Linked DNA regions of Drosophila melanogaster. The gene in region 2 interacts genetically with the main gene of each other region. Each region holds a gene or a part of one and is shown on either strand. Other genes may lie near its edges.

The links. Genes that interact genetically often act in the same process or in processes that back each other up.
Region 1: of nero (region 2) and eEF5, changing one enhances a phenotype caused by changing the other (phenotypic enhancement), as found in Drosophila melanogaster (one study listed by BioGRID).

The regions. Positions count from the first base shown.
Region 1 is NT_033778.4:24,053,931-24,061,408, forward strand, and holds eEF5 (eukaryotic translation elongation factor 5), read left to right. Parts: upstream 1-3,867; 5' UTR 3,868-3,972; exon of another isoform or gene 3,973-3,976; intron 3,977-4,553; 5' UTR 4,554-4,555; coding exon 4,556-4,761; intron 4,762-5,001; coding exon 5,002-5,203; intron 5,204-5,265; coding exon 5,266-5,337; 3' UTR 5,338-5,352; exon of another isoform or gene 5,353-5,408; 3' UTR 5,409-5,553; downstream 5,554-7,478. Other genes in the region: ppk29 (pickpocket 29), read right to left, coding at 1-47, 117-213, 269-405, 477-822, 882-943; CG13563 (uncharacterized protein), read left to right, coding at 1,541-1,589, 1,643-1,704, 1,760-1,959, 2,023-3,553; RpL12 (ribosomal protein L12), read left to right, coding at 6,608-6,644, 6,746-6,819, 6,883-7,063, 7,220-7,425. UniProt on the Drosophila melanogaster protein: Translation factor that promotes translation elongation and termination, particularly upon ribosome stalling at specific amino acid sequence contexts.
Region 2 is NT_033777.3:31,743,537-31,750,549, reverse strand, and holds nero (nero), read left to right. Parts: upstream 1-2,991; 5' UTR 2,992-3,074; coding exon 3,075-3,983; 3' UTR 3,984-4,105; downstream 4,106-7,013. Other genes in the region: CG1910 (uncharacterized protein), read right to left, coding at 1-969, 1,029-1,343, 2,464-2,544; awd (abnormal wing discs), read left to right, coding at 4,607-4,780, 4,960-5,292; CG1896 (uncharacterized protein), read right to left, coding at 5,429-5,549, 5,612-6,231; Tbca (tubulin binding cofactor A), read right to left, coding at 6,534-6,657, 6,713-6,921. UniProt on the Drosophila melanogaster protein: Catalyzes the hydroxylation of the N(6)-(4-aminobutyl)-L-lysine intermediate to form hypusine, an essential post-translational modification only found in mature eIF-5A factor.

The sequences.
Region 1 (7,478 bases), on a different chromosome or scaffold from region 2:
GTCAAGGAATTGAAGAAGGGCAGATCCTCGGGACTGTTGACGTACATCTTAGATGATGAGCACAAGTGTTATTTTGTTAGCTATGTGTTAGCCCAGCGAAACGTATCCCATCTCACCTCATATTTATACATAACAGAACTTCGCATGTAGAGTCGCAGACTTCGGTTGTTATCCAACGAAGAATACCTGAGAGGCATTTCTTCGATGCTGTCACTGGAGTAGGCATTTATTTTATTCGCGATTTGAACTACTAAATATTAACACTAACTAGTCCAATAGATTGTTCGCCAGAAAGCAGTAGCCCATTTCCGTCACATGAAACTTGAATATCTCCTCGCAGTCTGTCACCAATTCGCCACGAAAGTATATTTCTTTAAAGCATTCAGTACAATTGGTTGGAAACATCTAGAAGTGCAAATGGTAATTTAGTTCAAATATAATCCAAAGTCCCCCCCCCCCCCATGCGACACCGACACCTTTCTTCTTATATCCAAAATATTGAAATTGTACGGGTAACTTGTATTCTTGGTAGGCTCCTTCGTAAATATGTTGTTGGGGTTGAGAAAAGCATATTCGTATATCATTCTTGTAAAGGAGAAGGCAAAGTCTTCCTGAAAATACTCCCGCATCATTGCCTTGAATTCGTTAAACGCTCGGCTTTTTGTTAAGCAGATTCCTATCGATGGGAAGGTGTTTATCCAGCGACTGTAGGCGGTCGAGACCCCTATTGTCGTGGAGTCCGTTTCGTATCTGGTTTTCAATAGAACCAATATGGAAACGGTGCTCCATCCAGAAATGCCAATCACAAAAATCCAAAGCAGCCTGCAAAGAGTGATGGTTTTGCGAACCGTAGACAATATCCTCGAATCGCTGACTCTTACCCTTTATTTTCCACAAAAGACCTTATAAATCCTCGAAAATTCATTACTGACTTCCGCCACATTTCGTATTCATGAAATCCTTTCCACAATTTCTTCGTGACTAATTCGAAAATATATGATGTCCATCCTTTATTTAAATACGGAGGGATGCACGCAAGTTCTGATGCAAATCGAGCGTGTCGTTTAGATTAATGGAGAGATAAGAAGAAAACATACTCGTAGCTTTGAAATGCAACTGCATACTGCACGCAATGTTCAGATGCACTAATGGGTATCAAAGATGCGAGGGAATCGGTTCGTTGGGCTGCGAAAGTGTGCATACCTTTTGAAAGTGTATCCAACTATATAGATGCAACAATTATAACTGAAGATGGGCTTGTCCAAGCGTTGCGTTTTATGCTCCATAGCACACACGCCACCATTTGGATGCAGCATCTGGGCACTGACTTGGCAACAATCATTCACTCGGGAACCTAGGCGGATAAAATATAATAAGAAAATTAAATGCACATTTACCACAAGTGTGAGTGATCTGGCAAATGCATATATCCCTGAAAAGTCGATCATCTCTTTGATTCCCAGCCAAGTAGCAAGTAATGTGGATGAAAAACCAATGCTGCTAGTCTTGAACTGTCTGCAGCCAAAATCAATCGCTCAAGATGCTGGGGAAAGTGAAAGGCAGCATTATTGTCATTTACATGACCACTGGTATGGAGGTTAAAATCAATAAATTCGAATTAAGCTCACCCGCTTCGCTTCAGGACTGCTGTACATACTGCTGAGCATAAAGTCATCCGCCAGCTACATGAGGCCAAAACGCCAGGTAAGCATTCGACGCCAGGAAAAGCGAAAGTATGAACGCCCGCATCGACTTTCAGATGTGGCCCGTGGATCATCCAGGGATCGTCCTCTATAGACAGCACCCGAACGCCATGCGAAAGTTCTACTGGTACAACGCTAGGACCCCGATCCTGGTGGGCAAAATGCGTCTAAAAAACTACATGCGCAACATGCACATGCTGCCCCGATACGTGCCCTCACCTGTCCAGTTCCACGAGGCCTATGCGAACTCGAAGAGGTCTATATCAGCGCACATATCATCCATTTGTGCATACGTATAATCATAGTGGATTTCTTTCAGGAGCATCTTCAGGGACTTGAGCCAAGTGAATGGGTTCAAGAGCACACTCCTGCCCATTGCTACTTCCACCGTTGACTTCGTTGCGGCCCCGCTCAACACGATTGAGTACAGTTCCCCTCCGGTAAACGCACCTATTGGTTTCAGTTCAGCCCCAGTCAACGCCTTCGTGCCCCTCACGACGGGAACCCTTCCGAGCGCAGAACGCCTCATTGGCGCTCCGAGTCTGTGGAACCACTCCGAAACCCACGCCTCCAACGACGGCTGGAACAAGTGCCGCGAAAACTGCCTCCAGATTCCGTTCCAGGAGTATGCCAAGGACCAATACAGCTCGCAGAGCAAGACCAGTGACCTGCCGGTGACCACGACAACCACTTTGCCCTACTTCAACTACGTTGCGCACACCTACTTCACCCTTGACGACGTGATTCTCCCCCATTCCGCATCGAAACTCGGCAAATCTCCAGCACAAGACCAGCAATTTCGGCCCAGTCACCAAATTCTCACAACGGAAAGGCCCCAGGAGCTTTTCACCGAGCGGTTTCAGCACACCACGCCGCCTCCAACTACAACAACCACGACCACTGAATTCACTTTTCCGGGGAAAACCACTGCTTTGGAAATGGAGTACAGATATAGCACCCGACCAAGCTGGTTTAGCCCCACTACCTCCAGCACCACAACAACCGAAGCTGCGGCTTCTGAGGATCCCCCGAAATGGACAACTCCGCAACCCGCTCAGAACGTCTATTCCACGGCGAATGTTACGACAGGATCCTATAAGCACAGACTAAAATCCCTGAAAGCGACCAAAAACTTCTCTTCAAGCATTGAAACTAAACTGAAACTTTTGAAGCTTCATCTTAAAAACCTGGTTACAACTAGGGAAACGCCGAAGAACGTTCAGAATCTAACGACTACAGCTGTTCTTGACAACCACACCACTTTGGAAACGACTACAACAACAACTACGCCCACACCGCCAAGAAGAAGAACAAACGTCAATAGAAAACTGAGAAAACTGCGAGTTTTGGCATCGACCAAAAAGGTTCCGGTGCAGATTTCGAGAAATTCTACAGATTCCAGCAAAGCCATGGGAGAATTCAAAAAGAGTTTACCGAAAAGAATTTACCAACGGCGCAAGCACTTGAACTCCACTGCAATGCCAGAAGCCGCGAAAAACACAACAGCTGATACCGATATCGAAACGATAAAAAAGCTTAAGCGCCGAACAACAGCAACACCCCGGAAATCGACGAAGGTCGATGATAATGTTATCGTTCGAAACGCTACGCAGGCGATAAGTCACACTTTGGCAAAATCTCGCGCCGATGGTATATCAGAAGAAAAACACGCTTTGGTCACAGAATCGGCAATTATGACTATTTCCAGTGGTACTTTAAAAATGAGGCAGCCCCATATTAAGGCAAGGTCAAAGCCGCAAAGGTCCAGAAAAATGTCGCACCTGGAAAACGATAATTTCATACCGTCGTTGCCCATTGAGGTTTATTTTAAAAAAGTAAATCAGCAGTAAATTGCTATAGTCTTCGAGTCATGCGTATACATTGTGTAAATGAACAGAGCAAACTAAAGTCTTAACCATTATTTATACTTACAGAGACATTTTAAGCACCAAATACATAATAAAACAAAAAATTAAGTGTTTACTTGCAACATACATACATACATACACATATAGCTTATAAATAGTTGTTTTCAAATTTAAGACTGAGTTGGCAGGCCATTGTAAGTTTGGCGAAAATACGGCATCGGCCTTATCGTTCCATTCCCACAGTTCCTAAACTGGCACAGCGACCGGTGCTGACAATCCGTGTGCTAAGATGCAGCACTGTGCGTTTCTTATTATTGACCGGAAACAAAACGTGGGTTTGATTCGATAGCAGGGTTCTTTCATTTTACATCTTCGGTTGGAACAGTCACTGGACTTTGCAAGTAGGTTAGTAATTTCGCATTTTTGTGTATAAAAAAATTGCAAATTCGCCGGAGAAGCGGCGGACGACCTAAATGGCACTTACAGCCGGAGGAGACGGTCAAAAACGGCTTGGAAGCCAGAATTAACCTCCGGTCATCTCGGCACATTCAGTAATATGCGAAAGAAAGTGCTTACACTCACACAAGCACACATACACACATACAAGTGCAAAAATGCAGTACACAACTTTCAAGTGCCGTGTGTCTCGATGACTTTGCCAAATTAAATGTTTGAACACTAAAGTGCCAAGTGCCTGGGTATGCAATTTGGCATATGACATTTCGGATACATACATTTGCCGACACATATATACATACGTATGTATGCATTTTTTCGGCTTGCACACACACGTATTTACATACATATGTGCGAATCCGTCTGTGTCTGTATGTACCCATAGAACGCCGAGGTATATAATGTGCTTTCAACACCAGCTAGTGTCTTTGTGCCTAAGTGTAAATGCATTCAAATCCCAATTAATCGGCAGTTAATTAAATAGATAAATAATTAATTCAATCACATCTTGTGTCTTGTGCGGCAGATATGGCTGAGTTGGACGATCAATTCGAGACCACGGATTCCGGCGCATCGACGACCTATCCCATGCAATGTTCGGCATTGCGCAAAAACGGATTCGTCATGCTGAAGTCGCGGCCATGCAAGATTGTCGAGATGTCTACTTCAAAGACTGGAAAGCACGGACACGCCAAGGTTCATATGGTTGGCATTGATATTTTCTCTAACAAGAAGTGAGTATATTCGCATATTTCTTCCTATCTGGTGGCAGCAGCATTTGCGGAGAACACAAAGGAAGCGACGCGCTGCTCTTGAATGTAATCAACGAAAAGTGTGCGCAAGCAATCTTATCTTGGACCAAAGTTATCAATAAATTTATGGAGGAAAATTAGAGTTCAACGCGGCGACGCCACCTCAAGCCAAATCCAGATCCTCTTACTTAACGCCTGCTTTGTCTATCGTCGTCTTTGCAGATATGAAGATATTTGCCCATCTACTCATAACATGGATGTGCCCAATGTCAAAAGGGAGGACCTTCAGTTGATTGCTATTAGTGACGATAGCTTCCTTACATTGATGACCGAGAGCGGAGATCTGCGTGAAGACTTGAAGGTTCCAGAGGGCGAATTGGGTGAACAATTGCGTTTAGATTTTGATAGTGGCAAGGACTTACTGGTGAGTTTGCCTCGACACCATATTATTATTTCGCAGAGAATAATTTAATTATACTTTTTCAGTGCACCGTTCTCAAGGCGTGCGGAGAGGAGTGCGTTATCGCAATTAAAACCAATACTGCTCTGGACAAATAGGCAAAATGTGTCGCTGTAAATTTCTGTTGCATTTACATCTGAAACAAATTTATTCAAAGATGCTGTTATAGGCTAGTTGGCTCTACATCTTAAATCTGGTTCTAACGATTGTAATTAATATAACAGAAACTCGAAGCATCATGTTTGAATAACTAAGTAACAAGATACACGTTTGCCAATAAAATTTTTTACCTAAACGTCATCCGTAAAACTATGATTCTCCTGTTTTTCATTGGGTTTAAGCTCTTTATTTCAGCAAACTTTATTCTAATTCGCACAGCTAAATGGGAAAAGTAAACAAAATGTTGGTCTGGACGCACGAATGAATGGCGTCACTTAGCATTGTGATGGTAAACGGCGGGAACCAGATGGGGTGACGCTACCGGTTTTGAATGGGTACAAGATGAACTTGTATTATTGACAACGCTACTGAGCTTTGCTACACCCCATTTAAAAGTGTAGTGTATCCTGAAAAAGATAAGGTACTCGGATATAGAGAATGGAGGAGGCATATTGTTTGAGGCAGGTCGGAATTTCGTATAGTACCAATTTATGTATGTACATGTACATATGTACGGTTTAAATGCCGTTGTTAAATAACATTTCAACATTGATGTACCGACTTTCGGAAAGGTCAAGTAAAAGTACAAAAACAATAAAAACAATTTTCATAAGTTGTAAGATTAGAAGAATAATCGATAATTTTTTAAGCCAAATGCCAATCAATCGATATACCAATTGTCTTGTAAATCGGTTTAGTAAGTTGATAGAGAAAATTCAAATAAGTATTTCTTCAGCTAGCAGATATAAATTACTTGCATAATCATAAATAAATATTAGATTGAACTAACAAAATTGAACTAACTGAACTAACAAGAAGATAAAAATATTTACAACGACCGCTATGAAATGTAGTTAAAAAAATGTAAATCTGAATTTTAATTAAACTTAAAATATATCAACTAGTATTTAACATTTTCAACAAAAAAAAAAGATTTCTTAAAGCCTAATTTCAAATTAAGAATAAATAAAAATATAAACTCATTACACTCGTTTCAATTCCGCGTTCCATTCGAGACACTTTTTATTCCGATAGCACTGGGCGATACATCACTTGCAAACGGTCCTCCCGGAAATCGATAGCTTCTTCTTTCTTTTTCTGTGTGTCTTTTTTGCGGTAAAGTACATGAGCTGAAAATGTCTCAAATAAAATCGGCGAAAACTAACGTAATCTTTGCCTTACAGCGACTGTTCAAGCCAAGATACCGCTATGCCTCCCAAATTCGACCCAACGGAAGTTAAATTGGGTAAGTAAGCGAGTGTTTTTGTGAGGAGTTGAGCTTCGAGCAAACCGTAGTTTATAATAGAGGATTATCTTCAATAACGAATTTCTGCACCCAAATTACAGTGTACCTGCGTTGCGTGGGCGGAGAAGTCGGTGCCACATCCTCCCTGGCCCCAAAGATCGGTCCCCTCGGTCTGGTAAGCATGCAAATCGGTTTGTTTACTTGTGCAATTCGCGCTAACAAAAGTGTCTCTCTGTAGTCGCCCAAGAAAATCGGTGATGACATCGCCAAGGCCACCTCCGACTGGAAGGGTCTGAAGATCACCGTCTGCCTGACCATCCAGAACCGACAGGCCGCCATCTCCGTGGTTCCCTCCGCCGCCTCGCTGATCATCAAGGCTCTGAAGGAACCCCCACGTGACCGCAAGAAGCAGAAGAACAGTGAGTATTGCCCGGCAATCCTGGACTGGACTTCCAATGCCTGTGCCGGGCTGTGGTGGATAATGAGGAGCTTTGCTTCCACCGCACTGTGCCCACATGCACTGGATGGTTCTGTGCTTGATCCCCCGATTAACAGCAGATATTCTTAATTTACAGTCAAGCACAGTGGAAACATTGGCTTCGAAGACATTCTGGCCATCGCCCGCGTGATGAGGCCCAGGTCCATGGCCCGTGAGTTGAAGGGAACCTGCAAGGAAGTTCTGGGAACCGCCCAGAGCGTCGGCTGCACCGTTGACGGAAAGCACCCTCACGATGTTATTGACGAACTGAACGAGGGCTCCATTGAAGTCCCCGCGGAATAAACAGTTTTTTAAACAGAATTAATAAATTGTACGCGATACAGTCTGTAATAATT
Region 2 (7,013 bases):
TTCCTGTGGTTCCTTTGCAGGACTGTCGGCAGTCTTAACCAAGGTTGTATCGATTTCCAAGGGCTTGCTGACATCATTGGATGCGGGGGCGGTAGAAACATCAATAGGAACGGGCGTGGCGCTCTCATCCGTATTGCTCTCTGCCTCCTTGGGTTCCGCAGAGTCCACAACCTTGCTAGGCTCCTCTTCGCTGCTGGCGGCTTCCTTCGGCTCAGTCACCACCACGGTGCTGGTTTCCGTAAGCTCTTCCGCGGACTCTACAGTGCTTTCGGCTTCCTTGGGCTCGGCAGCGGGCACTTCTAAAACTGTTTCTTTGCCCTCTGTGGCCACTTCCACCACATCATTGCTAGACTCCGTAGTCTTTGCTGCTGCTTCTGTTTCTGGAGCGGCAGAAACGTTTTCGATGGCTGGTGTGTCTACTTGAGCGGTGTCCGAACTGCCCTTCGAACTTCCGTCCACTTCCATAGGTTCTGGTGTGGGCTCCTTGGCTGGCTCATTTTGCTCCTTGGACTCCAAAACTGCTGCTGCATGTTCCTCTGACTTCTGTTCTGGTTCTTTTTCGTCATCTAATGCCTTTTCTTTATTTGCGGATGGTGTGTTTTCGACGAGCGTCTCATCTTCGTCCACATCCATAACAGAAGCAGGTTCTTTAGGTGCAGCGGCAGTCTCTGTAGCGGCTCCATTCTCCGACGTTTCTCCGCTCGACTTGAGGGGCTCTTCAGCTTTTGGCACCTCTTCGCTTGAATTCCCAGGTTCTTCTGATATTGGTTTGACTTCATCGACATGATTCTGCTTCGCTTCCGCCACTGAAGGAAGATTCTCCACACCATCCGGTTGGTCCTGGACCCCGGCGGGACTGGCGTCTTCCTCTTTTGCCTCAGCTACATCTTCCTTTGCCTCCTCCGGCGCATATTTCTCAGTTGCCTTCTCCTGCTTCTTGACCTCTTTCTTGTCCTTCTTGACAGCTCCCTTAAAATAAGCTTGTTTATTTAGTTTTCAATGATAATAAGACCAGATAATTCGCTTACCTTTCCCTTGACCGAGGTCTGTACCTTCTCCTTCTCCTTCTCCAGCTCAGGCTCGGGCTCATCAGCGCCTACGTCTAGCTTACGTGCTCCGCGTCCCTTTCCTGCACTGGCCTTTGTGGCCGAGGCCGGCGAAGTGCGCGCCTTTTTGCTGGGTGGCGGCGTCACTGCCTCGGCGGCTCGCGTCGGCGTTCCTCGAGTGCTAGACCGCGTCCGCCGCCCGCCCGCCAGCTCCAGGCTTCCGCCCATTGTTCGCACAAGCTCCTCGCTTTCCTTCTGCGCCCGCTCAATGAACGAGCGGCGTTTGGGAGTGCGTTTCTGTAATAGAGGAGAGATCGGGTTCGGTAAGTTATATTTCAGTATACATAAGCAGTAGTGCTACTTTTGTAAGTTTGATTTCCCGCCAAAACGCAATTGTCTTTGAGGGAATGAAGATGCTATTTTACGCCTTTTTTTTATTTTTTTAATATACCTGATATTCCATATTTTTCTGATTCACTAATGTTTCGTCATATGAAACATTGTAGTTAAAAGTGCATTCCCTATAACACCAAAACATGTGCAAGATGGGCTGAAACCACGGCGCTTTATTAGTGACTCAAAAATACAATTATATAGAAGAAACAGAATCATGTATTTATATTTAAACTCTTATCGGCAATAATTAAGCGTTTAAATCCAAGTGCGCACTGTACTATTGTTGACATGGCCAAGTGACCGCAGCAATTGCACCCGCATCGACCCGCTTGCAGCTGAATTCACACAACAGACCCCAAATGAACCCCCACATTAATAGCTGTCGATCGGAGGAGTTGAGTTAGACATCGATGTGTACGTACGTATATCTATTAGTAAAGTCGCCGCTAAAAAATGGAACCGAATCTAGAGCGCAACGTATCGCATACATACACATGCACAACACCGCGGAGCGGATGCAAGTGTTCGTGCCGCCTTGTATGACAAAGTACAGCAAACAACAAAAAGTCGAAAAGGGAACAAGCAAAAATAAAAACAAACGAGACGCGGCGGCAGCGGCAAAACGTGAGCCTGAAAGGGAATCGCCGATTGCCCTGCTTCTCTCGTCATCTCCTCTTCTCTTCTTCTTCGGCGAGTAGCTACACACGTATACACACACGCACACATGCTGCTGGCTTCCTCAGCAGGCGGGGGAAGGGGGAGTTGGAAAGTGGACAGGAAAAAGCAAAAAGCGCGCGCACACGAGGGTAGCCGTTGAAAAAAGAAACGTAAATAGAAACGGACACAGCGCACAAAGGGAAATGGTGAAAATGCACCACATCCGAGTGCCCATATACACACACAGTTATTTTGGAAAAATACCGCAGATAATTCGGGCAAAGCAAAGCGGAGCCCGTGTTGGTGTGCGTTATCGCCGTGCTATGTTAATTGTCGCTAAATATGTGTATGTGCGGCTACTTACGGGAGTCTGCTTCTCGTCCCCCGTCGACGCATTCACATCTTCCACCGCCTCCGGCTTTTGGGCCACAGTTGCCTCCGACATTGTTTAAAATAAACGCTGGGCGGTTATCCCTATATCTTTCCAAAACTTCAAAACGGTGGCGAGGTTTACTCCACTTCCACTCTCGCAGGCGCACACAATTACAGGTAACTCAACTCGACACACACGCCACGCTTCGCATACCGTGAACGCGCAACTTTCAGAAATGCCGATTTTGCGGAAACTTTTCACCGTGAAGAGCCGCTCTTTTGGTCACCGATGCTGCGCCAGGACTGAGTCAGTATTTTTGAATACTTTCTGTGTCTAGAACGTTCGCTTTTCACCCTTTTATTGACTTTTTTGTATCGCGCTTCTACGGAGTAAACGTAACTAAACTGCTTCTTGCTAGTGCTGCACAATTTGTACTCTAAACGCGTTGGCAGCGCCGTTTCATCGACTCATAGTCCATCGATAGCCACGTCATATCGATTACTTGTAGTTTTGGTATTACCAAGTACTGAGTGTATGGCCACATTGCGACACCACACGCGGCCCGTTGCAGTTTTTTATTTATAAGTCCACACCGCATACAAATGGTTTCGCAGCAGCAAATCGAGGCCATTGGAGGCGTTCTGAACAACAAGGAACGCCCACTGAAAGAGCGCTTTCGAGCCCTCTTCACGCTGAAGAACATCGGCGGAGGAGCGGCCATCGAGGCGATCAGCAAAGCCTTTGACGATGATTCGGCCCTTCTCAAACATGAGCTGGCCTACTGCTTGGGTCAGATGCAGGACGCACAGGCGTTAGACATCCTCACCAAGGTGCTAAAGGACACCACCCAGGAGCCGATGGTGCGCCACGAGGCTGCGGAGGCCATGGGCGCCATTGGTCATCCAGATGTGCTGCCAATTCTGGAGGAGTACAAACAAGATCCGGTAGTGGAGGTGGCCGAAACATGTGCCATTGCTCTGGACCGCGTCCGCTGGCTGCAGAGTGGCCAAAAGGTAGATGACAGCAACCCTTACGCCTCCGTTGATCCCTCACCGCCAACTGCGGGCGACAAGAGCGTCACCGAGCTGAAGGCCATCTATCTGGATGCCCAGCAGAGCCTGTTCGATCGATATAGGGCCATGTTCAGCCTGCGCAATCTGCGCACCGAAGAGAGTGTCTTGGCCATTGCCGAGGGACTTAAGGACTCTTCCGCCCTCTTCCGCCACGAGGTGGCCTTCGTACTGGGCCAGCTGCAAGAACCCTGCAGCATTCCCTTCCTTCAAGAGAATCTGGAGGATCGCCTGGAAAACGAAATGGTGCGTCACGAGTGTGCCGAGGCCCTTGGCGCCATCGCCACAGAGGACTGCATTCAGATCTTGAACCGCTACGCCGAGGACGACAAGCGCGTGGTCAAGGAGAGCTGCGTCATCGCCCTGGACATGTGCGAGTACGAGAACAGTCCGGAGTTCCAATATGCCGACGGCCTAGCCAAACTAGACGCGACCAAGTGATTTTCGCCGAACATTTGCATCTACCAGCTGTGTATATATTAGTCGTAAACTTGTATTGTTTTGTCACTTCTGTGATCACATGGACCTAATCTTATCGAGACATAAAAAGAAATTTGAACGTGACTTCCCTGTGGTTTTTGATTAACCTGCTGGATGGATGAATCAACTGGTGGGAATGCTGATGCTAATGAGTGCCTAGTAACTATCCTAGTTTGACGGGCATTTTATCATCAACTGTGGGCAACTCTTTGTTTTTTTTTAAATGTTTTAATGTGTCTAGTAATTAAAAATAATACTATTGAGTTTTCGTTATTTTTGCTTTAAATTATTCGATGAAATGCATTCAGAATACATTCTGAAATTCAAAGTACAAGGCGACATGGCAGCCCCATTTGAGCGGTTATAAACTGAAAAAAATATGAATACTTTAGCAATGCACTCAAATTTCCGCTTTGGAATTTAAATAACAAGTATTTTCCTATCCTTTAAATCGCCCAACAAAAACAAAAACTCAAGAACGCGGCTGGCTGCCCAGTGTGACCACTTGACGATTTCCCACAATTCACCTTGCCGGCATTTCGTATTCGGGATTTTTTTGCAACGGCGAACACATGAAGCTCCTGATGCTCGGCACAATTTTGGCATTCTTTTCTGTAATCTCGGCGACAATGGCGGCTAACAAGGAGAGGACTTTCATCATGGTCAAGCCCGATGGCGTCCAGCGCGGGCTCGTCGGCAAGATCATCGAGCGCTTCGAGCAGAAGGGCTTCAAGCTGGTCGCCCTGAAGTTCACCTGGGTAAGCGGATAATTGAATTAGGAAGAAATCAATAGATATAAATACGTGGAAACGGGTTGCCCCACGCGGGGTTGCCATCGGACCTAACCTCAAAGGCTGGGTGCAGGCGTCATCGCGGAATGACATGTGTTTAGAGGTCAGAACTGCAATTAACTGATAACGAACCGTTTTGTAACCAGGCCTCCAAGGAGCTGCTGGAGAAGCACTACGCTGATCTGTCCGCCCGCCCCTTCTTCCCCGGACTCGTGAACTACATGAACTCCGGCCCCGTGGTGCCCATGGTGTGGGAGGGTCTGAATGTGGTCAAGACCGGTCGCCAGATGCTCGGCGCCACCAACCCCGCCGACTCGCTGCCCGGCACCATCCGCGGTGACTTCTGCATTCAGGTCGGACGCAACATCATCCACGGCTCCGATGCCGTCGAGTCTGCCGAGAAGGAGATCGCCCTGTGGTTCAACGAAAAGGAGCTGGTCACCTGGACCCCGGCCGCCAAGGACTGGATCTACGAATAGACGGCTACTTTAACTGTCTGCCCTCGTCTAAGCTGAATACAGATTGATTCTTCTAAAGAAATAAAATTCCACAATAATTACTATATAATCTTGCTTCTTTATAAGGAGTGTGAGCTTTGGAAAGGTTTCTATGATATTAAGTTAAGGATAGTCGATAGCCTATCCACTGAGCTGTAGGCTTTGTTGGCGGTAGCACCCATCCTCTGGGTATAGAGGAGCCTCTTCCACAGTAGCTTATGTAAGAATCCCATGTGGAGCTGGAAAAAGCGATGCAATTAAAAGGGAGCTCCCGCCGGACAATGCATTTCCCTAGACATACCGAATTTCAAGAAATTTCCCCTTATTTAATTTGGGAGTTGGCAAGGATCGGCCGAAGAACACAGCCTTCCATTGAGATTCAAGTGAAGCCACCTTCTTGGACTCCTTGACATGGCCAGCTTGAGTCTCTTCTTGGACTCTGCGCCAAACAAGACGCATGTGGGTCAGTTTTTGGCAAAGGGCGGCTCTGTCTCCTCCACGAGACTCGCAAAGTTTCTCCAGAAGATCAAAGGTCTCCAAAATGGAGGCAGCATCGCGTTGTTTTCGCAGGGATATGTGCTTCGCTTGTTCCAGTGCGGTATTTCGGGGCGGTTCTATGGAGAACTTCTGTTCTGCAGCCTCAGATTTGACGGTTGCACGTATCACCCGATGTTGGCTTCGTCTATATAAGCGTCGCCGGCGTTTTCTTTGTTTTTGTTCGTCGACTACTTGTTGGCCCGGTACTTGGTCAAGTTCATCCAGCAGGGTTGCCGTGCTCCGCTGCAGCTCCTCCGCCCGGTGCACATCGAAATCGCGACCTGCTCCACAGCTCTGTTGCTCCAGTTGCCCCAAACTCGATATAACTTGCTGAATCTTGGCTTTAACTTCACTTAATCTATGCTTTTTGTGCGGCGGAGTCATCTTATTTTGGTTGTTGGTGTTGGTAAACGCCTGAAGGTGCACATTGGGGGTAGTTTTAAAATATTTAATTATAGATTATTATTTTTATTTAGCAAAAGTGAGGCGAACGCCACCAGCAACTAGGCGATTCCTTTTCAAAAAAATATAATGTTATTTTTTTAAAACAAACAAAGGGGAAGAGTATTAGCTCAGTATGTGTGGATTCAAGCCGCTCTGCAGCTCAGAGCTCGGAGATGGAATTGCCATCAGGAATTTGCATTAATGCTGACATTAGGGGCAGTGAATTAAGTTTTGGGGTGGTTCTAGGTCTCCAGTTCAGCTTTGGCATCTTTGAGGATCTCTGCTGCCTTCTTATACGAATCTGTCTCGATCAGGTCCTGCTCATCGGCGAGGTACTTTTCCAGTACCTCGTACTCCTTCTGCAGTCTGTGAAAGGAACGTCCCATTAGGCTTTTGAAGGGGGAAACGGAAGAATGCATACCTTCTCTTGGAGTCGGGCACCATCATGATGCACTCCTGGATGACCTCCTCCTGCTTGCGCAGTACGTGGTCGTCGGCTCCGTCGCCCCTGAGCTTCTCCAACCGCGCCTGCTCGGTCAGCACTTCCTTGGCGTAGCAGTACTTCTCCCTGGTCAACCGCCGGACCACTCCGGATTTAATCACCAGTTGCCGGATGCGGGGGTCTGTCATTTTTGTTGGGCTGCGTTCTACTGCGTTCGCCTATGAACTGAAGTTAGTGAAGCTCGACGGGGACTTCCTGGCATGAATCACAGTTAATTCGA